Lonchura striata: one gene and its partner. The main gene of each other region encodes a partner of the protein of the gene in region 2 in a complex. Links are inferred from orthologs where the notes say so. Each region holds a gene or a part of one and is shown on either strand. Other genes may lie near its edges. The genes, in order: F2RL1 and guanine nucleotide-binding protein G(q) subunit alpha.

Evidence for each region.
Region 1: the proteins of guanine nucleotide-binding protein G(q) subunit alpha (region 2) and F2RL1 are in contact, whole or in part, in a cryo-EM structure (PDB 9D0A), measured with the Homo sapiens proteins. The link is inferred for Lonchura striata from reciprocal best matches to the Homo sapiens genes GNAQ and F2RL1. Residues at the interface, in NP_002063.2 of Homo sapiens: Arg37, Ile323, Tyr325, Asp346, Ile348, Leu349, Gln350, Asn352, Leu353, Glu355, Tyr356, Asn357, Leu358, Val359; in NP_005233.4 of Homo sapiens: His108, Pro109, Ala110, Met114, Gln172, Arg173, Val176, Ile177, Pro180, Met181, Gly182, His183, Ser184, Arg185, Met265, Met268, Leu269, Met274, Asp275, Asn277, Lys280, Lys281, Arg284, Ala285, Leu288, Ile289, Tyr344, Tyr345, Val347, Ser348.

What each region holds. Positions count from the first base shown.
Region 1 is NC_134642.1:13,371,365-13,386,534, forward strand, and holds F2RL1 (proteinase-activated receptor 2), read right to left. Parts: upstream 7,230-15,170; 5' UTR 7,191-7,229; coding exon 7,121-7,190; intron 3,580-7,120; coding exon 2,477-3,579; 3' UTR 1,701-2,476; downstream 1-1,700. UniProt on the Homo sapiens protein: Receptor for trypsin and trypsin-like enzymes coupled to G proteins.
Region 2 is NC_134642.1:24,299,865-24,315,186, forward strand, and holds the start of guanine nucleotide-binding protein G(q) subunit alpha, read right to left. Parts: upstream 6,103-15,322; 5' UTR 5,688-6,102; coding exon 5,552-5,687; intron 1-5,551.

The DNA of each region.
Region 1 (15,170 bases), about 11 Mb from region 2:
AGTCCACCCCAAGGTCACACTTGCTTGTGACAGTATGAGGAAACACCATGATCACATAGCTGGGAAAGGCTAATCTATTTCTCAGGTGTGGCATAAGCTTGAGCTTGTGAAATATTGACATGGTGCACATAAAATACACTGATTTTCAACTCCCTGATGCTTTCATGAATGTTGCACTGATTATTTTTTAGCACCTAAACTTTAATCACTAATAGGTAAGAAGAGTTTTTGGTTGTCTTAGTGTTTGAATTGCAAAGCTGGCACTGCTCAGGAATGCATTTATTGTAAGCTGAAGACAATCACCTTTATACCAACCAACCCTGCCCAAGAGTACAGCCTCCCCTTCTCCACTCCCCCCCAAAAAAGATTTAAGCAACCACCTCCACCCTCCTAGGCTATATGCTCTTACTCTGCTATTACCTGGCTGCACAGGCACATAATTGCCAATTCAAAGAACTGAATCAAATTGAATGAACAACCAGCCTAGTTTAACTGCTTTGTTAATTGAAGCAAACTAAATCATGCTAAATTCAGGATAAGGATTTGCAATATGGCTACATAAAGGGAAAGCTTCACTTACATGACTGTAAGCTCTTTGAATAGTATTCTCCAAAATCTGGCACACATCATAGAGACCCATTTTAAAAAGAAATCATTCTATTTACTAGAATTTCTTTCTCAAGTAGCTTTCAACATACTGCAGTACCATGTATTCTTAATTGTGCCACTGGCAGACCTCCACTGTTGCCACAGGTAAGAAAGATCCTTCATTGCACCCTGCTTTGCCAACCTGCATGCAGGTGAAGGCTAGAAGGGAGAAATGGTCAAAAAATCAGCAATTTCCTTCACATAACCTTCAACAGAATTGTCTAATTATTTGACAGGAAAAAAAACAATGAAAAGACTATAAATATACAAACAGTGCTTAGTGCACTTCTGATTAAATAATGATAAGAAATAAATCTTGTTTCCCCAAAAGACAGGCTATATTAAGCATGTAATATTTTAGACATTTAGCAGTCATCTGTGAATCATGAGCAGTCTCTTTGTGGTATTATAGACACACGCTGACAATTTATCATCTTTACAACATACAACCTTTGTACTCATGACAGAACACAGGTAAGTCTGTAAATACATGAACTGGATGCCCTTTCTTCATATTACTCACTACTGCATATAGAGCAGGAAGCATACTGCTTAGCAAGATAAAGGGAACAGGCTACAGAACGAGTTCAGACAGCCTTTTGTGAAGACAGTATAACTCTCTCAATTTCAAATTCTTCCAGTGAACTGTGGCCTCTTATGTACATTCATTTCCCAGTAAGGGTGCTAACACCTTCAGTTCAGTAATAAATATATAATTATTTTCCTGCATTTGTCAAGAAACAGGAAGAGAAAACTCAGTGGAGTAAACTCTCCACTCCTTAATGAGACACATGTTAACATATATTGCTATTTTAGCTTGGTCCTCTGAAATACGATCATAAAACACCCTACTTTCATTGGTCTCCAAACAAATGTGTCATTATGTAAATTTTGCTCTACTATTTAGACATTACAGCTACAATTGTCATGCTCATAATTAACTGTAAGGAGTATCATCTTTGTTAAGTGAAGTCAGGCAAGCTGAACTTGAAGTCAAGTTGAACTACTTTTGAAGTGCATATAAAAGAACAAAAGAAAGCACTCAACTCAAATGTGTTATATAAAAAAATCTTATTTAGTTGTCTTAAAAAATACAAGGCACATTTTATAAAATCAAATAGCTATCCATCAACACTTTGTTGTATATCCCCATATGAGATCATGTACTGGCAAATGTTAAGTAACAGTGGATAATCTCAATTTTTTTATCCCAGCGCTAGCTGATAAGATCAGCTTGTTAACTTGAACAGGATAACATTATAGGTTTTTGCTATGTTAGTATTTACAGCACAGTAACTTGGAAAACATTACATATATTATGTCAAAGAGAATAAGCAGTCTAATCCAAGATGGCGAAATGGATTCTCCTCTACGTCTCTCTACAGCTTCAAATGATGTTCAGTGAAAGCAGGTAGACAGAGCAAGGTCCTATACACACAATCTGTTCAGATGCTTAAAACATTACAGTTGCAGTTAAAAAAAACAGATTTTTATGGTAATTAAAAATGCTAACAATACTGCATAAGATTCCAGAGACATTTTTCTTTTTAGCAACTTTTATATTCAACAAGAATGTCTTCAGCCTCACTTCTAGGTCAGCAGCATTTTTGCACAGCATCTGAAATGTCTTCTTTTTTTCCCCCCAGTTTCTCAGGAATATTTATTTGCTTATCATTTCTACACAGAGCAAATGTCAGTTCCAAATTCCAGACTTCAATGTAATTAAAATGCAGAGGTGTTTCTTCAGAATCTCTTGTACAAAATAAGTCTATTGTCACTCACATCCTTCCATCAGTAATAACAAAAGTTCATTTTTCTAAGATTTAACTCAGTAGGTTGATTTATTGGTCCTACTTGAGTTTGAAGAATAAGAACTCGATTTCTTGGGGTACCTGCTTGATGAGAGAGACACTTGCATCCTCTGTGTAGTTCGCACACTTTGGCAAAGAAGAGCATATTTAAGGTTGTCTCTGAAGTCTTTTGAAATATAATAATAGATGAATGGATCAACACAACTATTCAAAATGGAAAGACACAGTGCAGTTATGTACCACACATACAGATGGCTCTGGCTGTAGGCTTTGAGGAGTGAATAGTGCACAATAATCAGCACATTGCTAGGTGTAAAACAGATGAGATACATGGACAGGACAACAATAATGAGTTTGACTGCTCTTTTTCGTTTCTTCCCAGTGCTTACATCTATGATGGAAGCACTCAGGGTCTTAATCATTAGAATGTATGCAACAGCAGTGATGATAGCTGGGATTAAGAAGAGTCCAATTGCAAGTGAGAGGAAATAACTGAACATATCATGGGCTGAAACATTTTCAGGTAACACATCATGGCAGGTTGTGATGTTAAGATTTGAAATATATGCTGTCTGATTAACAAGATACAATGGTATGGTGCCCAACACAATCAGTATCCAGATAGCAATGGAGATGCCCAAAGCAATTTCTGATTTTTTTTTTGAATGCACTATGGGGTTCACTACTACCCAATACCGTTGTACACTGAGACATGTCATGAAGAGGATGGAACAATACATGTTTCCATAGAAAAACGCAACAAATACTTTGCAGAGACCTTCACCAAATAGCCAGTTATTGCCATTTAGATGGTATGAAATCTTCAGTGGGAACCAGACAACAAAAAGAAGGTCTGCCAGTGCCAAGTTAACCATATAAATCACAGCCGGATGTTTCTTCTTTGTTCGGAAAAAAAAGACCCAGAGGGCCATGGCATTGCTTGGCAAACCAATTATAAAGACAAAGATATAAACAATGGGAATGAAAACTGTAGTCAGCTTTCCTGTGAGGACTTCTGCTACAAATTCATCCACCTCGTATAACTCTTCAGAATTATTTGCATTTTGAGCCTTATAGCCAATGAAACTTCTTCCTTTTGGTTTGCTGGAGCCATCATTCTCTAAAAAAAAAAAAAAAAAAAGTTGTTACTGTTGTTGAAGTACAGACTTTTTGCCCTTTTAAAAAATAAACTAGATACAGCAATTTCCTCTGAACATTTACAGAGAGCCTGATCAACCAGAAGATTAAGACTGATGTTCAAACACTTGATTTATCTTCCCTTTCTTTTAAATTTATTATCCAAAAGACAGCCTTTATCCCTTCAAGAAATCAAGGATTCTACCAGAAACAAAAACACTTCTCCATGTCACCAGAGATATTAAAAATGCCTTGTTAAAAGTGCATTTTAAAAATGGGCTGTTGGGTGCTCCTACCACCTGAACAGTTACAGTAGAAACTGCTTCAACTACACCCCAGGGCACCATTTTCACACAGCAGTGCCAGATCTGAGTGCTGGGTCACAGAGAACTTCACAGCAGGCTAATTTAATTGCAGTAGAAGCTTTGCCAGTTTAGATGGCCCAAAAATCAGGTATGTAGTAAAAAGAGAACATACAAGTAAAAAGAGAACATACAAGTAAAAAGAGAACATTCAGTAAAGCCAAAACTGAAAGTGAGATGCCATGTCTAAAGCCATGCACAAATAATCTCCAGGGCATGCCACATGTTACGGTGTATCTGAACAGAAATTTGAACAGACTAACTCTGTGCATGAAGTGGCAATACAGTCCTCATCTGAGACATCCTTCAGGAGAGTTGCTCTCTGTGGTTTCTACTCGAAGTATCAGGTGGTAGAGCCGACAGCTAAGGCTGCTCCATACTACAAGCCTTGCTCTGCCTCTACAAATACTGTGGGAGCTTACAAACCATATGGGTGAGGCAGGTGCTCCTAACTCGAGTCCTGTAGGACAGACTTTGAACAGCCCAGTTCATGATCCCTGCACTCACAACACAGTCCTCCTCTGCTAACAGGCTAAATTGCACAAGCAATGTCCTGGAATGCACACCATTCCGAAAAGTCAGACATTCACCTACAGACATCCAGCTAAACTGTATGGACATGGTGGCTGCCTGGTTTAGGGAGGATAGTTTCTAAGCTTAATATCAATATTTGTGGATTTATGTAGCCAAAGCCTCCCAATTGTAACATAAAAAGAGTCTTTTTGAGTACCTGAACAGTGAGCAGCCATGAACAATGCTGAAGCATGGCCCATCCCTTTATTAAAATATAATTAATACAGTTCCAAATGAAAAAATGCTTCCACCTTAAATTTTAAAGAATTCTTACACAAGAAATATGTAAATACACAAGTGTGCTTTTCTCAGTACAGATTCCTCGAAGCAGCCCAGTTTAGATAGCTGCTCTTTTCAACTTATAACTGCAAAAGTCTGATGTACAGCATTAGATTTCTGTCTAGAATCTGCAACTTTCTGAAAATGCATACAAAAATATTGACAGTCTTCAGAGTTTTGAATTAAGTTAACTTAGATTCACTTGAGCACTTAAAAATCTCCAGGTCCAGGCAGCCTTCACTGGGAAACCAAGGTGCAAGAAAACTGCTGATTTCTTAGGCTCACAGCTTAGCTGAGAAAGATCATGGAGATGCTTGGAAGCAGATCCTATAGACTATTGACAGCAGTGATCAGGATACAGTAATAAAATGCACCATATGTTAAGCATCTGTCCATCAGAAAGTGGTCGATATTATCAAATAGTAGTCATGCTATTTTCACTCCATTCCTAAGACTCAAATTATTGTGGAGAACTAGAAGAATAAATACTACCACTTTGTTATTACTAAAGGTTTGTGATCAGATATAAAACAATGATTTGCAATTGAAGTTCAGAGGTTAGGTAGAAAAAAAAAGCCTCATCAAAAAGTCCTAAAATGTTAGTATGAGACACTACAGTAAGAGGTACACTGAAGTGCATGCACAGATACCTGAACCACAGACAGGACTTTGTATTGCTAGAGTGTCAGAACAGGGACAAAGGTTTGTTTTATTCTACTTTGTAAGACACAGTGATTTCACAGACCAAGTCTTGTTCTTATGCTGACTTTAATTCGAGCCTCAAAATATACTGGGCAGCTTTTTTCAGTCCAACTAGAAACCTATACATATAAGGAGACAGCGTCCTGTTTCCCTGCAGTTAACACTCCCTCACGGAGCAACCGATCCTTTGTTAGGAATGTGCATTTCTACATCCTTTCCTTACTCATTCACCACTTGCCGTTTTCCATAACAATCGGGCTCTTTTCCAAGACCAGTTTCACCCTGCTTGACTCACATACAGAGAATGCTGTTGACTTGCTAATCTGCCCACGGGAAAAGTTTATTCTCTCCTCCCACAAAAGACTGTTTCAATACCTTTGCCATTTGTCCAGAAGATATAACCCACTACATACCAAACACAGGATTATGCCTACCCTGCAGACACAAAAGTGACAGCAGCACGGATTATGCCAAAATTAACTAGTTTACTCATGGCAGTAATACTCCCAACAGGACTAAATTTAAGATTATCCTGTTTTTTTGATCTGTAACCTCCCTTGTCCCCGAGAATTCCAAACTCCTCACTCCGTCCAGGCCAGACAATTAGGCTATTAAATGGCAGCTTAATTTCAGGAACTCTGGTCTGAAGAACATAATTTGCAGCTACCTAGCATCGATCCCTTGAGAAAATATGACGTATGTTTGGCTTCAATACGTATACAACGTATATCCTATACTTAGCTTCAATATTTACACAATCTTTACGCGTATGATTTTATTAGGTAAATAAGCCTGGTAAATGAAATATGCAAGGACACAGTGAAAAGGTATGCACAGATATGGCAATGAGGTTTATTATAAAATGTGGTGAAAAATTAACTTCAGGCAGTGAAGTATTAATATGAATGACTGTTTAGGTTTTTTTCCTCAAACTTCACTTATATTCAACAAGCAATAGCACAGACTAAAAATTTAAAAAGAATCCTAGCTTTTTAGATTAGGGAAAAAAAAAATCAAGAACATGGTCTTTAAATTTTTTTTTTCATGCTTATCGCAAGGGGAGGCAGGAAGGAGACTACAAGAAAGTTGGAGAGGGGCGTTTTACAAGGCCACTTAGTTTAAAGACCAGATGGAATGGTTTTAAATGGAAATAGAGTAGATTTAGACTAGCCAGTAGGAAGAAACTCTTTATGTGAAGGCGGTGAGGCGCTGGAACTGGCTGCCCAGAGAAGCCGCGGATGCCCCGTCCGTGGCAGCGTCCACGGCCAGGCTACACAGGGCTCTAAGTAACCTGGTCCTCCCTGCCCGTGTCAGGGGGAGAGGGGTGGAATCAGACACGAGCTTTGCGGTCCCTTCCAAGCCAGCCCGCTCCACGATTCTGTTCCAGGCGGGTGAAGCCAAGCCCCACGCGTCCCACGAGCCCTGAGGGGGCTGCTCGCCGTGAAGAGCTTTCCCTCGCGGCCGCGGAGCCCTGCCCACGGTGCCGGCAGCCGCACTGCCACCCGCACGAGTTTTTCGGCTCCGCGGAACCCCGCCCCGACCACTCCGTGCTCCCCGAACCCCAGCCGGGCCGGACACCTGCCCCGCCGGCCCCGCTGCTCCGCTCACCTCCAGCAGCGGCGGCAGCTCCCAGCAGCGCACACCACAGCAGCAGGCACAACCCACGGCGCGCAACCATCTCACCGCGCCCGGCCGCCGCCGCTCCGGCCGCGCTCACCACCAGTTTCACCTGATACCTGAGCGGGGCGGGGCGCGGGGCGCAGCCGGGCCCAGGGCCAGCCCCGGGGGCGGGCCCAGGCCGGGCCCTGCCCTCAGGGCGGCGGGCGCGGTGCCCGAAATGGTGGGAGCCGCTCGCTGCGGGCTCCGCTCCCCCGGCGCAAGATGGCGGGCCGGCCGCAGCCCGCCGGCTGTCGGCCGCCCTCGGGCCGCGCCTGGCAGCCGCGCGGCCGCTGCGGGCGGAGCGGCTCCGCCGGTGCCGGCCCTCGCCCTGCTCACGGGCACCGCGCTGCTCGCGGCCCTGACCGCCCGGTGCGGTTGTCCTGGGGCACACCGGCGGGACCCCGCAGCGTTTAGTGCGAGCACAACACAGCCGTGTTGTGCTTTCCTGGTGTTTACCCTTCCGTGTTACATAGCATTACAGAATCACAGAATCGTGCAGTCTTAGGTCAGGTTGGAAGAGGTCACAGAAAGTCATCTGATCTAGCCTCCCTGCCCAGGTAGGGGCCTCTGGAGTGCATTACTCAGGATTTTGTCCCGTCCAGTCAGCTTTTGAATACTTCTGGAGAAGTATTCACACCTTTTCTGGTCAGTCTGTTCAGTGCTCTGTCACCCTCACAGTAGAGAAGTTCTGTGCATCAGTTTCTGCCTGTTACCCTATTGCTTGGCACAACTGTGAAAAGCCCGGTCCATCTTCCTGGCAGCCTCCCTTCAGATCACTAAAGACATTGATGAAGTCCAGTCTGTCATGGGCACTGTGGGTATCAGACACTCTCAGCCTTGTGGTGTCAGCAGACTCTCTGAAGAGGCCCTTCATCAAAGTCATGGATGAGCACATTAAACAGTACTGGGCCCATATGCATCATATATGGGTTACATGTGTCATATGACAGATGGGCAGAAAAATGTGTAATGACTGTTTAACCTACATGCATTTGTGGTACTCTGCTGGCATGACCCACTAAGAAAGTTTAAGTAAGACGTTTTCACTTGGCAGCTTTGCTTAAGCTTAGAATACACCAACTTCCCTTTGGTTTTGCAAAAAGGGATTTCAGGAACAAAATTAAGCACAAAGTAATGTCATCAGTATTTTCTGTTTATCTGCACAGATACAAATTTTGAATGTTTTCATTGTCATCAGATAAAGCACACAGCTTACCGAATTCCAGAATTAAAACCATGTGTTCAACCCTGGTTCACAGCTGCAGACAGAAATTATCTCTCTACCTTATTCTGCAAAATGCTCTGTGTTCAAGCAATAATAAAATTGCCTTCTTTTCCCTTTTTTTGAATGAGCATTATATTTATATGAATATACTCTGTTTTACGTGGTTCTGAAAGAGAATAAATTTTTTTGGTTTTGTCTTTCTGTGATGCTCACGAGATACAGTTGTCTGTGAGTACAGAGAGATGAAGGTAAATGGCACTGGGAAGTTTTGGGTGTCAGAATTGAGATTAAGGGTCTCTTGTTTTTGAGTCTTTGTAATAAGTTACTGCATGCTTAAAGCACAGTTCCTGTTTGTCATCCACACAATTTACAGATTTCTCATCTAAGTCCCAGCCTTCTAGCTAAACACTGGGAAAGTCATAGCCCATCCCTCCAGTGTCCCTCCCTTTCTCACTTTCAGTACTATTTTGTTTACCATTATAAACCACTTCATAGACATTTAATCCTGCTTTTAATCACCTTGTACCATGAGCTGTAGTCTTCTCATTTGGATCTATATTTAGCCTCCCTTTACTAGTCTCCAGAGTTTTTCCTCTCAGATCTCCATTACTAAGGAGTGGTCAGTCTTTCATCCTGTTCTGATGTAGCCAGTGCTCTCCTGCCAGTTCCCTGTTACAGTTTTCATTCTTAGTTCTCTCTTGATTTATTCCATCCAGTCCATTGTTTTGTCCCCTTTACATTCAAAGCAGAAAGCTCCTTCTCACTTTTGCTTGGATCCAGCAATAGTGGAAGGAAATAAGCACACATGGGAAAAGTATTTATTGCTGTTGCTAAGTAAAATCTGGTCCTGGCTGTCCCATGACAGACCAGAGCTACAACTGGAGAAGCTCTGTGGCTATGTGTAGAAGCACGTGTCACTGCAAGTGCATCTTCTGGAAATGCAGCTCTGGACTTTGCTCCAGGTGAGTGTAAGGAAATTATACCAGCATAGGTTTGTAATGCATCTACTTTATTGTAGAGGTTCAGAAACATGTAATTGATGGGAAGATAATTTCCTTTGAAATTTTATATAATTTAATATAAAATCATTAGATTCTCAAACAATTAAAAATGGAGCTTATAAGAGGGAATGCCAGATGACTTTAATATCAGAGAATTCTATCAACCTGTCTTATAAGAGAGACCTTATTGCAGCCTTATATAGAGTGGGCTTTTGGGAAAGGTGGGGAGAAACATTTTACCTGTAGTGATAGAACAAGGGCTAACATATTTAGCAAAAAATAAAGTAGATTTAGGTAAGGAGAGAGTTTCCTTACTGCAAGAGTGGTGGAACAGCAGAATAGGCTGCCAAGAGACATTGTGGACAGGACATTTCTGGAAGAGTTCAAGGCCAGGTTGAATGGGGCTTTGAGCAATCTGGTCTTATAAAAGGTGTCCCTGCCCATGGAATGGCATTGTACTAGATGGTCATTAAAGATTTCTTCCAACACCAATTACTCTATGAGTCTCTAGCAAATTAATGGTTTTTGGCACTTGTAAGCAGCTCCTGGTGCTTTGACCATGCAGTGCCAACCAGGCTTTTGTTCTGATTTTGTTCTGCTCAATTGAAAAATTAGAATTCCCAGTTTACACTTTTGAAGGCATAATATTTGTTACAAAGATTCTCCACATATAGTCTATAAATTAGTTCTTTCTCCTAACTTAAATAATATTTAATAGAAACTAGAAATTGTCTTACTCCTGCTCAAATTACTTGGACTTCTCAACAGAGCATGTCAAAACATGCCTTTATTGAAGACAGCTGATTTGTCAAACCTATTTGCAGTCCTAGCAATGTCTATTTTTCTTTCCAAACTATTTGATAGTTTGGAAAGAAAATTAATAATTTATAATAAACACAAAGCAACTATCTTCTTGTTCACACTTGTTTATCATTGGATAATAATTGACCTAAATACAACTGCCACAGGAAAAGTAACTATGTGATTGTAGAGGCTTATGAAATCTTCATTCTCTGTTATAAATTGGTTTCTCAATTTTCTTGGTTTTCTATGTACTTTTCTTTTTCTGTTACATATATATATATCTGTGTGTGTCTGTGTACACATATATATATAATACATATACATGTATATATAAATATAAAAAATACATATACTCCTATGTTATATTGTAATGAGTTGGGGGAAATAATCTTTAATACAGTGGCTTGAAGGGAGCTTTGACCTTGCACATCATTGCTTATCAAAGCATACCCAAAGCTGACAAAAGATAAGTGAACAGCAGCTCATAATTCTCTGCTCTGTCAATGTTTGTTTGGAGATGTTGTCATAAGAGTCTTGTGCACCCTGGGACAAAGGCCATTACTGGAAATATACCCTCCCTTCCACTTTGAGTAGCTGGTGAGTATGTTTTTAACACAGTCTAGCACAGGGGCTCCAAAGGGGACCTTCTCTGATATACTCCTTGGGCCTTGAAAATTTTAACATCATGGCAATGTCATGTAACCATGAAGATACGTTACTGTCAAAGATAATTATTACCCCTTTAGTAATTGAGCAATGAACGTGGTTTCATTGCAAGGCACTTGTCAGTACTCATGAAGTGTGTACTAGAATAAACATGTGGGAGCATTTTTATTATGTAGAGTTTGTGTGTGTACTTTTTTGCTCCATGGGAATTTCTGAATTCAGATGGCAAATATGCTTTTAGTGTGTGGCTTATTTTAATTATATGGCATGTCTGTTGCGGGAGAAGGTAAGGGATAGTTGCTTGTATCTGACACAAATATATGGATTTTTTTTTCTTTTTTTAAGGGGAAAAAAGGACTTGGTTTAGGAAGGGAAAAGGAATAAAAATACCCTAACTTTAAATATCAATACGTCTTGTAGGGTTGGCACAACACTTAAAATATCCTTCAAGGAATCTGGCCAGTGCAAGTATTCTCAGAGGGAGGGTAAAGTTTGGGTCAAATGAAACAATGTGAAGAATTTAATTTTAAAAACTAATGTGATTTTGATTCAAAAGAGCTGATGTATTACCTCTCAGTGCTTTAGCCTGCCCTCAGGCTAGCCACCTGTCTTCTTGGAAACTTAGATGAGTACCTGGGTACTAAGTTACAGTAAGACTCTGCTTTAGTAATGGAAGACCAGGACTGTGGATATAATAAGCATTTTTGATGACTCATTTCAACATCAAGTAGTTTTTTACAGTTCCTCCTTCTGTATCTCATTCTTAAAACCCTCTGTGCCATTTTAAGTGGTCTCTCTTGATTATTTTCCTGAGCCTTTGAACAGGTCTCTATTTCCTGCTTGGTTGGCCTTGCTGGCAGACCTGTTAGGTACTACATGAGGGTTGTCACTAATGCCCTTGCTCTATGTGTGTCCAGCAAGGAGCCTAGGGAACAAGAAATTATGGGCAGCAGCTGTATATTTTCCATTTCTCTGTGAGCAAGAGTCCATTTTATTTCATTCTGTGTTTAAGAAGTCTGTTCCATTCCCTCACTTACCCCATCTACCCCAAGATTCTTGCAGATTTTTTGAAATTCTGACCATGTAAAAAATATATAAGCACAATATAAGTCTATTGTGCTGATATGTTATTATGTTGTTACTATGTGAGGTGCCAGTGTAGTTGGCTTAGTAATTTATGGCATTTTTGGGGTTACTGTGTTGGCAGAACATCTAGGTAGTATTGGCTATTTTAGGTGATCTCTTAATGGTTACTGGGTATCATCCTGATTTGCCTTTCCTGACCTTCTGCCAGCAGCATCCTGTGTTTGTTTCTGTCTTTGGCTTTTAATTCTGTGTGTATTTTCACTTTCTTCAAAAGCAAGATCCAGGGTTGGGGCTGGAGGTATAACAAAGAAATGTGGTTAAAGTTGTAGATTAAAATGTTAGGTATTCTCAGTGCCTGAGGGGTAGAAACATAGATGGCCCAAACCAGGCTTCATGCTGACAGAGAAGTAAAGAGGTGGCTCCTGTTCACCATAACTTGCAGTGATAGAAGACTTGTGTGTTGAATTTAGTGAAACAGTTTGGTCTCAGCAGAATGTAAAGCAGGGCTTCTGTACTGCTGTTGACAGTTGTTTAGCATGAGGTACATCTATCTTCAAGTGTCCTTGCAGCTACATGAAAAAAGCATGTTAAGGTATTAAAATCAAGCAATTGAAAGTTAGGAGATGCTCTCATTTGGCATTCTGTTCAATTTTAATTCATCATTATTGTGCATATGATTTTTGAAAGGGATTTAGTTATGACCTCATACTCAGTCTTTCTATGGTTCACTTCATGGAATGTGCTCATGAAACCACAGATCTTGTACTTGCACCTCTACTTATATGTATATATACACTTGAAACACCACTATTTAGCTAGTTCTGATCCTGCTGCTATTGAAAACTGGGCAAGAACTCTCTCTGTATAGATAGAATACAGAGAAAAGGATGTGCAGATTGCTCAAAACTCAGCAGTACAGCCACTAGTTTAGGCTGAGTTTGTAAAATTGTCTTGAAGGGAATTGAAATTTATTTTCAGTATGGGTTTATTACAATTCTTGTCTTGTTTGTACCTCTATGCTGGAAGGAATACAGGGTGGAGTGTATAAAATAACAATGCCTCTTCAGGTAATATGAATCATTACATAGTGAATCACAAACATACTGTGTTCCCACAATGTTGTGCATCAAAGAAGTTGTTGTATGTAACATATTTCTATGTAGTTTGTTTGCTGTTCCATTGAGCACCAATGTATTATTTGTTGGATATTCTTTACTCCATCAAAATCTTCCCTAAAGAAAACCTAAAGTCCAGAGATGTTGTAAATAACTGGAAAACCTGAAGAACGTTTGTGTTCTAAACACTTTGTTTAGTCTAAAGAAGATTTGGAGAGACTTGATGACATACCTAAAATATGTCCAGGGCTGCAGTATATTTTCAATGTTCACTGAGTCGACTAAAGTTTTGGCAGAGCTAGATATTAGGAAAAATGTTTTAACAATCAGCACCAGTTTTCCTGAGTGCACATTTTCTAGAGAATCTGTAGGACATCCATCATTGGCACTTTTAAAGTTTAGACAAACAAGAATGATGTAGGTATGTCTAGTTCATCTTGACAGGAGAATTAGGTGATGCCTTGAGCACAGAAGTAATGCCTCCAGCACAATCATTAGTGACTCTACAGCAATGTTTCTAGCTGAATCAAATCCCAGTCCTTTATTGTACTGACCTCAGTGGTCTTACTTTTTGTTTAGAATCTGAATACAGTAAGATTTGGTGTCATGTTCTACCTTGTGATTCACCCTTGGTGGTTTCACAGACATGCACTTCTGTTAAAAAAAAAAAAAATGCTTTCAAGATCCTGTCTAATCTGATAATCTGATTCTGGCTAGGAACATTTCAGATCATTACTGAGCAATTGTGAGTCAGGCAACAAGGCGGAATCTATCTTTACCATTTGGGAGAGAAACTTGTTCAGCCCCCCTGTATTCTTGCTTCCCCACCACACAGATGACATCAGTTTTCCTAATCAAAGTAAAGACTAGGAGCCCAGAGGGAGAAGCACCAGGTGGAGCACCGAGGAAAACCACCACCAACTAGATTTCAGAGTAGCAGTAGACCTCTGAGGAGCCCCATGGGATTTGTACCTACTTTGAAGAGCTAGACCACAGGTGTGGGTAAAATGCCAATCGCAAACCACAATGTTTGGTGAATGCTGGGAATAATTGCCTTTTGAGTCTGAGATAAAGAGCATGAAGAGAGTGACATTGAACCTGGTGACCTTCAAAGAGCGGTACCTCATGCATCTACTTCCACCAGCCATTTAATATTTCTCATTTTACTGGAAGTATATTTTTGAGTGTTGTTCTGCTGCCCCTCTTACTACTCCTCACATCACAGTTCTCAGTATTTTTGACTCCTTCTGACTCATCTGTAGGGGATGCCTGTGGAAAAGAAATTCACAAATCAAGGGAAAAAGTGGTGATTTATGAGTAATGACTTGGTGATGCTTTTTTGTCTTTCCCTCTCAAGACCCCTTTATCTGCTTGCCAGAACTAAAACATACTGTGCAGCATTTAAATAAATCTCCAGCAAATCCACAGAGAAGAAAAATGTATGTGGAGAAGCAGGGATAGGCTGAGAAGTTTTGTGAAAGGAAGAACAGTCTTCCTCAGAAGAGTCTCATGAAACCTACACAAAGTTAAAATGGTAAACTTGCTTTAATCTAAGCCATAGTCAATAAAAGGCAGGTGGTGCTTTACTGCTGAAGTGAACAGCAAATACAATGTGAGCTGTGATTTGGTCAGTGCTTTCTGCACGTGTCAGTTTCAGATGATGTTGGTTTCAATTGCCTCAGTTTTGTTGACAATATGTAATTATCACAGTGTAGATAAGTCATGAGACAGCTGTGGGGATTGATGAACTCTGAGAATTGTTGATGATTCCTTGAACTTAGAGTTTGCCCAAGCAGTAATGCTGTTCTCAGTTGTGAATGAATGCCAAGAGTCAGCATCCATTTAATGGCAAAAATGAAATCCTTTGCACACTGATTAAGCACTTGCTAATGCTGGGATCTGTCTAGTCTTTTTAGATTCCAAATGGTACTTTCAAAGAGCAAAATAGAAATTAATTCTGAGAGCTTCATGGGAAGATCTCTGTGACAAGATCCTAGTTCAGTTGGACAGATTAACATGTGACATTCATTCATGATGGGGCTAACTGATGTAAAAATTAACATTGTAAAATAAAGGAGGGCTTTAGGACAAAATTCCTAAAT
Region 2 (15,322 bases):
AAAATCATGCTTCAGCTTAGCCTCAGTATCAGCACTACTTATTCAGGGAACAATGTGGTTTCAGGACACTTCAGATTTTAAACTTTAGTTTAGCCTGAAAAAACATTTGTGCTGTTCCTGGAACTCTCCAGGAACAGGAGACTTTCCAAACTTTTAACTTCTAAAACATTGGTATCTCTTGGACTTCTTTATCCAGTTTTAACATATCTAACTTCTTTGCACAGAGTTAATAATATTTAAAACCTGTGGCATGCTTCCTTCTTTTTGGCCAACATCATGTGTATGACTTCCTAGTGTTGCCTATATGCTAATTCTTCCTTTGTTTTCTTCTGCTTTCCTTCTCTTTGTTCTTGCCAGGTTTGATAATTACAGTAAATAAAAGGTGAATACTGAAAAACTTCCATAATTTCATCAGTAACAGCTGTTCATACATAGCTACATTTGTCTACAAGACTAGATTTTCTTCAGTCCTCTACCATTCAACTGAAGGAAAAGATATTGTGCTTGTAGCACTCTATTCCTGCAACAAAGCTGATCACCATTAATTTGACCTCTACCTTACTTTATTTCACACCTCTGTGATTTGTTTTTCAGAGATTGCAAGGCAGTGCTTTCCCCTATGAATTTGCTGTTACCATACAACAACACAATTAATTTGAAACAACTAAAGGAGGAGAATTAGTATTTCTTCATTTTGCAGTACACACTTAAATGCCCATACTCCAAAGATTTCTCTGCTCAGCATATATTTTTTCATCCTACAACAATTTTTTCATTCAACATTGTTTGCCAGTGTAACATAAAAATTAGGGGCCACTTGGCTCTTTGAAATGTAAATAAAACTAAATTAGTCTGAATTCTTTAACTGTTCAGATCATCTGCTAGTTCCTATTAACTTTGGTGGGTGTAGATCACTTATTGAGTAGTAAATACAAAAGAGCAACAAACCCTTTTTAATGGCTGCATACAAGGTATCTTTTTGTGGTGCACCAAAAAGGAATGATCTTAAATATTTTCTAAATATATGTTCTTCACATTATCACACTGATATCCAAATGATGATTTGTGTTTTCCTCCTCAACAAAAAAAAATGCTCTTATATATGGACATATCTGTGTATATGAGAATACATCAAGGTACTGAACCTTCAGAATGAAATTTTATTTCCTTAGAAACAGCTTCTGCTAAATAAGAGATATTTGCCTATCTAGCTACAATATGTATTAAGAGGTAAGTAAATTATTTATAAACATCTACTGTGTCAATTACCTAAATTATTTGAAAGAGTTCAGCGTGAGTAGGACAGACTGATAAAAATACAAGCTACAAGAAAAATAAGAAAGCTTGTTTCTCCAGCTGAAGAAGTTACATGAAACAAGAGTCTGCCACTGTTGGCTTAAGGGACCCATTTACTCTTCAAAGTATCTACACAAAGCCCACCTCTGTGAACACACCAAGTTCCGCATGTTCAACATCTAATTCGGCTAACACAGCTTTAAGAAATAATACATATTACTATGTCCAAAAGCATCTTTTGGCATAAGATTGACTGCTGTTCACGCCAATTCAAATGGCTTATCATCCATCTAGTTTCTGTGCTACAGCACAGAGAATAGAAGGACACTTGTATCAAGGCAAGTCTCTTCACTGACACATTCACTATCTTAAGTACCTAAGAAGTACCTAAGTCTTAAAAAAATGCTTTGCACATGACACAATACCAACCAATATGCTGCAAAAAAAAAAAAAAAAATAGCACTGTCACACATATCTCCAGTACCTAATCTGCCAGAGTTTACAGACACATAGGCATAGCTAGCACAACACCTGCAGATTATTTTCTTAGATACTCAAGGCATTTCCCAAAGAGAAAATAGTGTACAATATTAATGTATACAGTCTACAGGCAGACTATGTCCAGGACTGATGGTTTATGACTACAACCTGTCTGTCATGCAGGTTCAAATGCTGCTTTCTGAGTCCCTGGAAAAGCTACATGGATGGCAGGAAAAAATTACACATGGAAGCATGACAAAAAATACATATGCAAGTATATAGCTCTTACTACTTTAAAATAAATATGTATATAAATGTATAAAATAAAAGCATGCAGAACACATTGGCATAGGCCAAAATAAAACATTAGTACACCTCTTCATTTTCTCCCTTAATTATAAAAACAATGTGTTTTTACAGCTAAGAGTAAACAACGGATATTAACAACTCTAAGCTCTGGAGAACAATCACGGTTTTACAAAGTGTTCATCAATAATGACATCCAGAAGAGTTAAAGTACAGATTAAAACTAAATTCAGTGGAAGACTGAATTAGTTCCAAAGTGTCTCAAAAGACTACAGACAAGTTGTGCTAGCTGAAACTACTACTATGCAATATGCTTCAGTGCGCATTCCAATTGCAATTGGAAAAATTATTTTGTCCTGTTCTAATATGTTTTAAAAAATCAAATAATGATGTACAAAAAAGTACCTAAAAGCATTATTTTAATGTTTAATCAGTGTTTATTTTTAAACTAATACCTAAAAATAATCTTAGCACACAGTGAAAGTTTTGCACAAATTACCTCCGACTTTGAACTCTTTGATTTCATGAAAAGTAAAAAGATACCATGAGCACATTAAACAGTGTGCGTGTTTTTGTGTATGTGTGCAGGCATCTGTGTGTGACACAGTAGCAGTTCAGAGAAACCTGTTTCCAAGAAGGTACTATGTCTTTCACAAGTTAAGGAGGGAAAAAAATCCTTTTCCTCTGAAGCAAAAGATTAATTTTTTCGTTATGTTTGCTACCCGTATGCATTTTTATGTGTGTATATCTAATTTTTAAGCAAGCGTAATAATAAAACAACCTAACATAGATATGCTTGTTTGTGCCTTTAAAGGTTAATAATACCTTTCACTTTGCACTTGCAACTAGTCTGAAGAACATGCATAGCCACTTAACGAGGCTCAGCTTACACTACACTAATATTCTTTAAAAGTCAAAGGATATTCCTTAGTCCTGTATTTAAAAATCTTAACACGCTTAGGTTTTTCAGACCTATAACACTTGAGAGAGTGGGACTGCAAAATTGGCACTTCCAGAAAAGAAAAAAAAAAAAAAAGAAAAAAAACCAAAGATGTTCACTTATGTTTACATTAAAAAAACCAGCACAAGTGATTTTCTCCCCAAAGCTGAGGGGGAAAGAGATGAAATGGGACAGTAAACATTTATTTAATATTAAAAAAATCAGATTATTTTAAATCAGATCGTTTTCCTGCTACCAGCCTCACTATTTTTGATGAATATTTCATTCGAAAATGGTTTCCTCTGTCTCATAACCATGTAAATGACCCATACAAACAACTTAGCATTCGTTTTACAAATAACTGAGCATTTACTTATGCTAGGGAAACAATGAAAGTGGCTAAAAAAAAAGTGTTCTAAGGTACTTAAGATAAATCCACTTATGAAAGAAGTTCCCATAAATTTCTTTTAGAAATTGAAACTTAAGTCTACAAAATACCAAGACACCAAGAGTCTTTCACTACACACTGCATTTCTCAAGACAAGATCATTATGTTAATCCAAATGTGCGCATACTATTTCTTTCAGTCAAATATATGACAGAGGCTGAGAAAACATTAGTCAGAAAAAATGCATGCACAGTAACAATTTCTGTACTGGTTTTATTAACCAGGTGTATGGATGTGCTCTTAAATACATGCAGCCAAAAGTTCACACCTCCAGATCTCTACATCATGCCTCCACTTTCACAAGCCTGCTGGAAGTCTTAGCTGGCATTGATGAACTCAAGAGTTTTTCCTAATCTTTTCTATGGGTTGGTTTCTCTCCTGTTCTTCTTCAAATCACCACACATTATCTGGTCCAAAGTGATGCCATAACTGGACTCCAGTCTACCACCATCTACCTCAATACTTCATGTTAGTGGTGGGAGGACCTTGCAAAGCAGCTCAAGTTCCGTGTTCCTAACTGCAGAATCTCTTCTCTAGGAAAAATTTCTTCTCTAGGTAATATATATTGGTCTCATTCAGTGAATTTCATACATTTCTGAAAATCTGGGAGAAGCTTCTAGCACTACTGTAAGAGATACCGAGAACATACAGAAAAAATCTGGACCTGAATAACATGTCAAATGTATGAACTGCCTCTCCCGAAGCAAGTGTCTATCATTAATCATACTTAGACATCCATAATATTAAGCAAGGGCAGTCTATTTTATCTTCTTTGTGCATCTCAGAGATCACACTGCCATAAACCAAAATCAGTCAAAAATCCAAAAGAACATTATTATTGTTGAGTGCTGCATCCATGTCACTACTTCTCTCCCAGATCCGTTAGAGATCCCAACCTTGTCTACAAGGAAATAACCTTCAAGAAATAGCATATTCATATGGAAGCACTAAAACGAATTCAAACTTTTCCTTCCAACTTGCCTTACCTTATTGAATAGGCACTTTACTTCCTCAGTATAAACCACTACTTCCATATACATGGCCCAAGAAAAACATCTTCCCTGTAAACATCCCACATCCATTTGGAACATACTCACTCATTCACACATCAGAGAGTAGCACAAAAATACATAAAGGCCTGAGTCCAGGCAGGAACTATTACCACGGAGCTACGCGACACAGTGCATCAGACTGGACACAGTCAAGCAGATTTTAATTCGAAAGCCTTATTTTAACATAAGCCAAATTTCTATTAGATAAATGCCACCTCTGCATATTTCTAAAATATTCTGCAACTCTAAAATAGCAACCTCTGCTTTAATTAAGGAGAAACGATACAGTTGATTTTATTCCCTGACCAGTGGGTGGATGCCAAGGGTATTAAAGATCCTGTAATCATCCAGCACACTTCAGGTTACCCCTCAGCTTGCCATGTGCATCTGGGCCTTTGCGGCTCCCTTCCCTTTGTAGAAACCGGTATGCAAGCTGACCCCAAGCCCCTTATCCAACTTTACCTCAATAAATAAAAATCACAATGAGAAATGCAACCGGTGAGCTAACAACCTTGCCGAAGCCCACGGAACAATGCAGATATCACACCCGCCACCATCGACCTGCACAGCGACTCCCCCTGGGAATCCTTTCCTTAATCCGCTTCGCTACCATCGCTCTCCCACACACATCGACATTTGCCCCTCTCCCCGCAGCCCGCTCACTCACCCGCCATCCATTCCCTCTCCATTTTGGAAGGCCGCTTCCCGTTTCACACCGAACGCCCCCGCCGGCGATGCCCGCAGGCGGGCACACACGCCCCGTTCCCCGCGGCGGAGCTCGGCCTGCGGCTCCCCGCGGCGGGGGCGCCGAGCGCCCGCGGCAGCGCCGAGCGCCCGCGGCAGCGCCGAGCGCCCGCGGCAGCGCAGGCACTGCCGCCGCCCGTGCCCGCCGCCGGATACCTGCGCCGGCACGGACCGCGCCGGCGGCGATGCCCGGGCAGCGGCCGGCGGCACCTGGGGCGTGCGCGGTCCGAGGCGAGCGGCCCGAGGCGAGCGGCTCCAGGCGGGAGGAGGAAGCCCCGCACTCACCCAGCAGCAGCAGCTTCAGCTCGCGGCGGGCGTCCCGCTTGTCCCGACGCAGCTGCCTCTCGATCTCGTCGTTGATCCGCCGGGCTTCCTTGGCTTCCTCGCTCAGGCAGCACGCCATGATGGACTCCAGAGTCATTCTTCCTAACTGGTTCAGACACAGCCCCCACCCCCCCTAAACCCGCACGCACACTCGCACACACGCACCCCGCCGCCGCTCCGGCCCCGGGGGGCACAGGCGCTCTCCGAGAGCCCGGGGGCCGCCGCAGGGCAGGCGCGCAGGCAGAGCAGCCTCGATGCCACAGAAGGGCAAGAAGAAAGGCAGGGCCGCTGGCGGCGCGGATCCCCGCTCCCTGCCGCTGACACCCGCCGCTGCCAACTCCTCCTCTCCTCTAAATCATGCACCGAACAACATGGAAACATCCACCGCGGCGGCAGCAGCAGCGCTACCCAGGCGAGCCGTCCCTCGTCCCGCTGCTTCCCTTCCCTCGCCGCCGCCCGCAGCCTGCGCGGTCCCCGAGTGTCCCTGGCGGCCGCCGACACCCCCGCCGCCCTCCGACGCGACCACCCCACCCCCGTGGAAGCGTTAATGCCCACTAATCCCTCCCCCGCCCCGCACACGCACACATCTCTCCGCCGCTCCCCGCCCCCAGAGCGGGAGCCCGGCTCCTGCGGGGTGGCGAGATCGCCGCTACCCGGCAGGAAGAGCTTTCCCGCGGCCGCTCCTCCTTCCCGCCGCCTCGGCCGCTCGCCCTTCCAAGAAGGAGGCGGGCGTGGTGGTGGTGAGGGAAAGCGGAGCTCGCTGTCGGAGAGCTGCCGCTGTTCGGCTCCGCTCGGTTCGGCCCTGCTCGCGTTGCCGACAGAGCAACGGAAAGGGAAACGAGTGCACTAGCAGGGGTCGAGCCCGACCGGCTTTTAAATGGTCGGGCTCCGCGGGCGTGGTGCGGCAGGAATATGGCGGCGCGGCTCCCGCCGCCGCTCCCGCTCTCTCTCCGCCCCGCCGCGCGGCGGGGGCGAGCGGCCGGGGCGGCCGATCCCCGCCCGCGCTGTGCCGCCCCCAGGGCCGCGCCGCCCGCCCTGCGGCGGCCGAGGGCGGAGGAGGAGTGCGGGAAGAGACCGAACGGATTCCCACTCCAAATGGCTGCGAGGAGCTGTGCCTGCTCCGGCTTGTCCTGACGGGCAGCGCTTTCCCTAACGCCTTGTTTGCTTTCGCTTCCTTTGTTTTTAGACGTGGGCACACATTTTTATTCGGTTCCCATCCTAGAAGAGATGAATTGGGTTGGCAGGGTCTGGCGGAAAATGTGGCCGGCTGAAAGGAAGGAAGGAGTAAGGAGCCGAAAATGCCTTTTCCACCTTTGGCCGGAATGGGAAGGCAGAGCGGGATACGCGCACACCGTCAGGCACCCGGAAGGTTTAGCGCCCTGACTTCTTGCTGGGAAGGCAAAGCCGTGCGTTCGGCACGAACGCGCTGGGACACCCCACGGAACGCCACCGGCGTGGCCGATACTCGGCTGCGGTGAGTTCTATTCGCTCCTCGCCCCGGCCCCTGCCTTAGGCCCGATTTCTGGAAAGCATCCCCGTGTAGCTTTCGGTAGCTCTCGGGGTGATGGCATACAATCGAGCAGAATGCACTCATACACCTTCTAGTTTTTGTGAATTCATAAACTCCTCACAGAATTCCCACACCTGCACTTCCTTTGGCCACCTCCATTTTAAACTACTTGTATCTAGGAATGTTGCCAAATCGGTTGTGAATCTGGTACCTAGCCTAGATAGTGGGTAGAAAGGCACATCACTCTTTTAGCTCCATATCTGAAACCTCACCAGCACCTGCTGACATCTGTTTCGAAATTTATATGCGCTTTCCTAAAAGCTTCCATATGTACTGATAAAATTATTTAAGTAAGGTCTGCTATAAAGAGCAAGACAATGAGGGAATTAAAAATAAACATATAAAGATAATAAAAACAACCAGGAAAATAATACAACCAATTTTTTAGAGCATAAAAAATTACTTATTAAAAATTGCATGATTTTCATGTAGATCTATATTGTACTGGTATGAATAGTGTGTAAAAATGATTTATACAACTTGGAATCTTTTTACTTCATTCCAGTCAATGACTTTTAGTCAAAATTGGGTAGATTAAGCTACTAAGAATAGACTATATTTCACTCAAAGCATATTCTCTCTTTTAAAACCTGTAGGTATAGAAGTGTATCTATGTATTCACCTGTATTGTGTACTGGTCCCAGATGTATTAATATTACATGCAATTTAGATTTCTAAAGTGCCAGCAGTGAATTACAGAGACAACGAGTAACAGAAAAAGAGGGGGAGGTTACTTCAAGGAAACAATTATCAGGGTTTTTGAGATATCAGGGTTTTTTCTTCTAAATGCCAGAGTCCAAAAGAGTGAAGGTGAGTATGGTAAAGCTCACAAGAAATTCTTGTTGGATATTTTGTACATTGTGCCCAAATCCACAGCAATCATCTCCAGGAATCACATCTTGAAAAAATATTAGGAACAGGTCAATGAGTTTTCAATCTTTAGGTAAACTGAATCAATATCTTCTCCAAAACTGAGGGCACACTGTTCTAATAAAAACTGTAATTGTCTACAGTAGAAGAAGTTGGACTAAACTTTCTTACCTGTTTTATATGCTCAGTATAAAAGGCATGAACACAGTGTATACCTCAAATGTAGAACTGCATTTAATTTTGCATTTTTAATAAGACAAGACATGCCACAGACCATAACTGTAATCTGCATGTACCACTTTTATTGATATAACTGGATTTCAAATATTTACAGAATAAATATCTTCATATTTTTAATGGATGAGCCATCTAGTCCTGAATATGGCATCAACAGATAGTCATTATACACTGTTTTACTCATTTGCTTCATGACTTAGTGAAAGTCAGAAGAACCCCATTATGGATAATTACATGATAATAAACCTATGAGGAGATTTCTTTCCAGACCTCAATTCCATAATGATTGGCTTTTGTTTTGAAATGTGAAACATCCTTTATAAATATTTTATCCTAATAACAACTATCAGTAAATAACAGAAATCTTTATTGCGTATGCAGGTAATTATTATCCATAGATACTATCCATGCTGTTATCTAATCCTGGACAGATACTTCCTGATAAGCCTCCCGTAGCACTAATCTCATATTCCTCTATCCAAGTAGTCTCTAGTGCATGGCTCATAGCAACCCATTGCTTGTGAGATGTTTTGATGTTGCTTACTGCCACAGGAAATTAAAAGTGAGACTGTCAGAGGGAGAAAAGATATACTTGCATCCTTGGTATTCTTACTCATAAAACAGTAAAGATTTGGAAACTACCACTATGTTTAATCATGTCCATAGCATTCTTTGCACTAAGCTATCTTAGTTTTCAATTTCTTCCTTCCATATGCCTAAAGATATTTATTGTCTCTTTTTTCCGTCTTTTCTGCCTAAGAAAGGTTTTCTGTGATGTTTTGACAGGTTCCAAATGGTATCTGAACTTGGTACTCACATGACAGTATACTAGAAGATTGTGTATAGCAACATCATAGGATTTTCATAATTTGTGAGTGCTTTTTCGTTGCCATTGTTCATTAAGAAGATATTTGCACAGTGCTATGCAGAAGTACATCCCAGTCTTGTTTGTGAATGTTTCTAGTAAATTTAGAGGCTGTCAGTATGTCTGAGTTGAGCAAATTACCCTTCCAGTATGCCCTCCTAATCAGGTTTTTCTTTGCTGGTTTTGTTTGGGTTGGAGTTTTTTGTTGTTGTTGCTGTTGTTGTTTTTGTGTGTTTTTTTTGTTTGGTTGAGTTTCTGGGAGGTTTTTTTGGGTTTTTTTTTTTTTGTTTGGTTGGTTTTGGGGTTTTTTAAAGGGGGAAAAACCCAAATAAAATGTATCTGCTGTTTTCTGCTGTTAAATGAATAACATCCAGCAATTTCCTTCAGCAGATATCCATTTGTTCCAGTGTGTTTTGACAAATTATCTTCTGAATGTTTCTCAGTGTTCCTTATTTCAAAGCAAAAAGTGTCTGCCAAGGTGCTAAGGTACAGACCAATGACTAGGGAAGAGTTAACCCGCTGTTTTCTCATCTGATTTTTCTGGAATTTTGGAAACTTCTTCCCTTCTGTGTGTTTGTATGTCAGGGTTCTTATGGAAGACCTGTATCTGAAAAAGCTTTTTTTATTTTTTGAAACACTTTTGTTCTTCAGACGCATCTCTTAACATTCTTTTGCCCCGGCACTAGAAGAGGGGTGTTGTGCAGAGAAGCGCGTGTGGCAGTCCCCGAGCGCAGCGCGGTGCAGGACGCGCACCCCGGCTGAGTGCGCTGCACCAGGAGCCAGCATCCTGCCCACACCACTCCTCGCCTGCCTGCACGGCCGCTGCCTGCTCCAGCAGGACAGGCTAGCAGCCGCATGATTTGGCACCTTAACTGTGGGCAGAACTGAATCCTGGTGTATTGTGTTGGGTGGGAATTTTTTTGGTTGTTAGGGTTTGTTGGTTGCTTTCTTGCTTGCTTGACTGGGTATTTTCCCAGAGTTTGCTGTTTAAGGATTTGTATTGTCTTTCACAAAGTCTCAGCTGATTCTTCAATCCTGTTTGTGGAAAACGTCTAGTAGGCACAGTGTGATCCAGACCACCACTTCTGTGGGAATAAGCTGCTGTATCACCTGCATGAGCCAGTTGTTTCTCTATTGTTCTGCACAAGTCTGCTGGAACAGGATCATAAATTTCAACCCTGAAAAAAAAACAAAAACCCAAAACAAAGCAAAAAATCTCACCACGCTTGACCTAGCCACATGACACAAATTACATTAATAAATTGGTAGAGTATGAGCTGATACTACAGTAATATGGCCACTCACTGAAAAGGAATACTTAAGTCTTCAGTATCGGCACCAGCTGTTTCTCTGATTATTTTTATTAGTTATATAGGTTAAAATCTCCCAAAAGTTTCAGCAAAACCTGTGATTAAGTGTTCAGGCTAGGATATACTATGGGGGATACTAGTCTTCCCCCTCTGTGACATGAATTATAAATTAATATTTTGTCATCGTAGAAATACTATTGTTTCTATCAAAATACCTTTTATGTGTATTTATTATGTTCATCACATTCAAGCACATTTTTCTTTCAGTTTATAGAATATTTGACAAGGTGGCTTTTATTCTTCATGGATTTCTTATTTTTGTGCAAGTCCAAAGTAAGTTATTCATACATATAATCACACCAATTTATTAACCTAGAGAGACTTTGTATAATGTCTAGTTCATTTGCCATCAGTAGGACTTCTTATGCTCTGCTAGGTTAATGGTATTGTATGTTTAGATTATTTATCTAAAACTTCAAACATTCTATTCTAGCTTTTATTCTTACCTTACAGTCTATTCTTGGATATGTGCTTCCTAATTCTGATTTCATATAAGTTTCATAGCATAGTAACTCCATCATTTTCAATGGAATTGCACTGTTTTTCAGTATCATACACAGTAGTGTCAGATCATGAGCTTCCTTTAAGATATTTAGCATAAGCATTGTAATTGTGTGACTCCTCCAGTTTTTTCAGTGGCTATTTCAGAAACAGTCTAACCATTAGAAAGCATAAACTGATCAGCCCTCATTCCCATTTTAGTTCTCACTGTCACAGGACAGAGGCAAGAGGTACACATCACCCAGACAGAGGTAATTCTTTTGGTATTTCATGGAAAAGTATTATTTGTAAATCTTTCCATCATCCAAAGATTGCATTAGCAGAGGTTATTTTCTTGCAATCCAAAGTATGTCACTAGAAGGACCACAGACAGCTATCTCATTGCCCATAATTTTAAAATGGAAGACTAATCCAAAATCAAAGCATTCTTCAATGCTTTCTACAATCTTGCACCAAAGTTTAGTATGTAAAGTGAAAAACTTTTTCTAGTGAAGATGAACAGAAAATAAATATCCATTTGCATGTAATAGTAGTTCATAAAACTATTTTTTCAATATGCAATTTATATACAAATTAAATGCAAGAATTTAGAAGGTTTAGGAATGAATTCTGTACTTTATATGTGCTTCATGTCTTGTATTAATAGGAGCATCAATGTATTTTGCACATTACTACTAAATCTTCTAATAGAAATCATAAGTAAATGTGTGAGGGATAAGTGACATAAAGTTATGACCTAGTCAGTTGTGTTTTCAGATGAGCAAATAAATTATTTTTATTGATATATATAATTTTAAAACATTATAGCAGAAGCTCATCATGAGACTGTTTCAAGTATTTATGGTTTTAAAGTGAATGCAGAGAAGGATCTTAAGACAGCAGGTGATCAGTGTTTTCCTCTGAGTGGAAGTACAGTAATAAGGGAAGTATCTTTCTTTCTCTATATGAAAATCTATTAGAAAAAATGGTCCTCATTAAGTCTTATGCAAAGCCATCACAAATACTGACTAAAGTAGTATTTCCACAGAAGTATTTAAAGTAGTGGAGAAAATTGAGTTGGAAGATAGCAAAATAATTGGCTTCCATTTAATACTTTAGGAAATATCGAGCAGGAATCAAGGCACTCAAGTTACGTACTGAAGTAAAAATGTGGGTTGAGTTGTAAGCCTCATTTTATAACTATAATTACAGTTGCATAACTTTAGTTATACCTATAACCTCAGTTTATATAACTATAACCCCAGATAGCCAGATAGTATGTTTCTTCAATAAGTATGGGATGATATATAAACTTGAATTTGGGCAGAAATAGGAAAAACTCTTATGCCTGAGATGCACAGCTAATAGTAGCAGTGCAGTGATTGCTGTTATTAGTCAAACTACCCCGCAGTTAACATGGCATTTAGATTGTACTCTTAAGGAAGATTGGTGAATCTATTATAATATTTAAGGGAATTACGGAAATTCATTAGTAGGGAAAAGGATAGCATTTTTTTCGTTTGTCCTAAGAGACAGAGAAAAGAGACTTTTCAACACTTAGAAAATTCTGATTTGGGCATATATAGAGAATTGGATAGCGTGCTAAGATTGTTTAAATATACAGATTTGGGTAAAATCCATGTATTATCCTGGTATGGGTATAATTGCGTGGCGGGCTGTAAGTGTACCATATTTCTATGGAACTGCTTCCTAATCTGATTGTATTTTGAATTGTGGATTTGCATTGCCTTACAGGGAACCTAAATAAAAATCCTCTCTAATTTTGGTTTTGTTTTGATTGTTATATATTAAGAAGATTGAAAGAAGCAAAAGTGGTTTTTTTTTTTTTAACTCCAAAATAAAGAGTGTTTAACAGAACTGAAACTTTGAAGAGACTAGGAAATTTTAAGAAGAACCAGTGGTTAAATTTTAGTTTGGATACTGAGAGAAACAGCTGCATTTTGAATTATATTGGATAGCCAAACCTCTTTTATTTATGAGGGGAAACTTGTCATTAATACCTGCTTCTGCTAAAAAATCAGTTGTAAGTCTGAGATTTACAGGGAAGAAAAAAAGCTTTGAGCTCCCCCTACTGTTGTTTCTATCCAAAAGGATGGAAAACCTGAATTTTGTTTTGATGGATAAAATATCAGTCAGATAGAAGAGAAATTAAACAATACAGAAGTACCACTTTAAGTTTCTGGTAATGTGCTATTAACAGTTGAGAGAACCAGGATGTTTAAGGTGTTTTTTAAGTTGTTAGTTCTCTCAAAGATTTTGGCATTCATAGCATAATGTACATGAGAATATATACCTTCACATACAATAGTTTTCCAAGTTTTCTATGTGAAGATATGATTTAGTGTTTGAGTATGCATACACTTAATCTTGCTCTCTTCACATGAAATTGGTGGATCATAAAACTTACTAAATATTGGCATATTCATATTTACTTTTCCAGATAGCTTTCAAAAAGCTGATATTTATTCAGGTAAGTGATTTAGGAACTCCCACTGAAATTTACAATAAATTGCTACTTGTAAATCTAGTTTTTTAGTCCCTTTACATTATTACTATTGCAAGTTACAAAGAGTACTTTAAGAATTAAAATTCTGAGCTATGTACTGATTGACATTACAAATACTTTTCACCAAAAGTGTTTAATCTCATAATGTCCAGATTTGTGTATATAATATAGTTTCTGAGTTCATCATCAGTGCTCATGATCAAAGCACTTTTTATCTGTTTATTAGTATTTCTTTGTTAAATAAGATTTTTTTTTTCCAGAAAAAAAGTCTTTGCACAAAGGCTGAGCTTTTTTTGGAGTTCTGTGCTTTCATTATTTTAATAACTGAAAAACATTAATGTGCTAATTATTTCAAGTCTTGTTACACCCATTCTCATAAAGAGTCTCTGCTAGTCTCTTTACAGGTGACATTAAGGTGGTAGTATTGTAGCAAAAAAAAAAAAGTCAAAATTCTCTCTAATGTATCATACATTTATTGGTACTTTTCCTTGAATTTCCCTATGGAGTTCAAAATTCTTCTAATGAAATAATCTTTTTTTTTTACCATTATGATTTCCAAAAAGCAGTTAAGCAAACCTCTATTTCTTTGGCCTGGTAACACCAAATACCATCTGTTCCACATGGAGGTGTGGGGTGAAGTGAAAGTGAGCTGGCGCAGGGGTCTTTCTAGATTTCAGCGAGAAAGACCCAACAACAATTGGCTTAATCTGGGTAATTCAAAAAGACAGATGAAGAAGAGGGGTACAGATAGTAGCATCTTATGTTTCCTCAGGTGATGGGCACTCCATGCAGCATTGAACAGTGCCCCAATGGATTTTCCCATGGCACACTGCACAGAGCACATCCTGCCAGGGGAAAGAAACTCATCCTTTCAATCATTTGAGGTCATCTTTAACTTCCTTACAAGAAAACAGGTTTTTTGAGGGCAAGTCCATGGAGGATATATCATGGCAGTGCTGAGCAGGGGCTACCCATATTAATTGCAGTGTACAGCTGTCTCCCAGTCAGGACCAATGCATTCCATCCCTTGATCCCTATACATTTTAGCTTTCCCAAATATATGTTGTAATTTACAAATCATATTAATAACATGGCATTATAAAGTGCAAGTTCCAATAGGAGAAATGTGGCCTTTTCAAGATCACCAGCTCCTCAGGTTTAATGTCTTCTGCAAGGACCCCAAATCTACCTGTACTCTTTTCAAGGATCATATATCATATTGCACCTTTGTGATAGTTCACGAGAAATTGATTTTTGATGCCGCTTTGCGGTCTCATTAGAGAGACAGCAATCCAAGATTCATGAAGACATTTGTTTTTAACCTCAGATCATTCACAATTTTTCTGTTCCCTATATTGTCTAGAGAAGGGCAATGAAGCTGGTGAAGAGTCTAGAGGTAATTCATTTGAGGAGCAGCTGAGGGATCTGGTGTTGCTTAGCCTGGAGAAAAGGAGACTCGGGGTGACCTTATCACTTCCTAAAACTACCTGAAAGGAAGCTGTAGCCAAGTGAGGTCAACCCCTTCTACCCGGCAACTAGGATGAGGGGACAATCTGAAGTATGCACCAAGGGAGATTCAGGCTGGACATTAGGAAGAGCTTCTTCACAGAAAGAGCTGTTAAGCACTGGATCAAGCTGCCTGGAGAGGCTGTGAAGTCATCCATCCATTGAGATGTTTAAGAGAAGACTAGATGGGGCACTTTGTGTCATGACAGGTTGGATTTGATAATCTCGGGTGAAAAGCCAGGGAATCTCAGAAGAATGGGAAGCTGGACAGGACAAACTCAGGTCTGAACCAATGTGGTTAATCAAA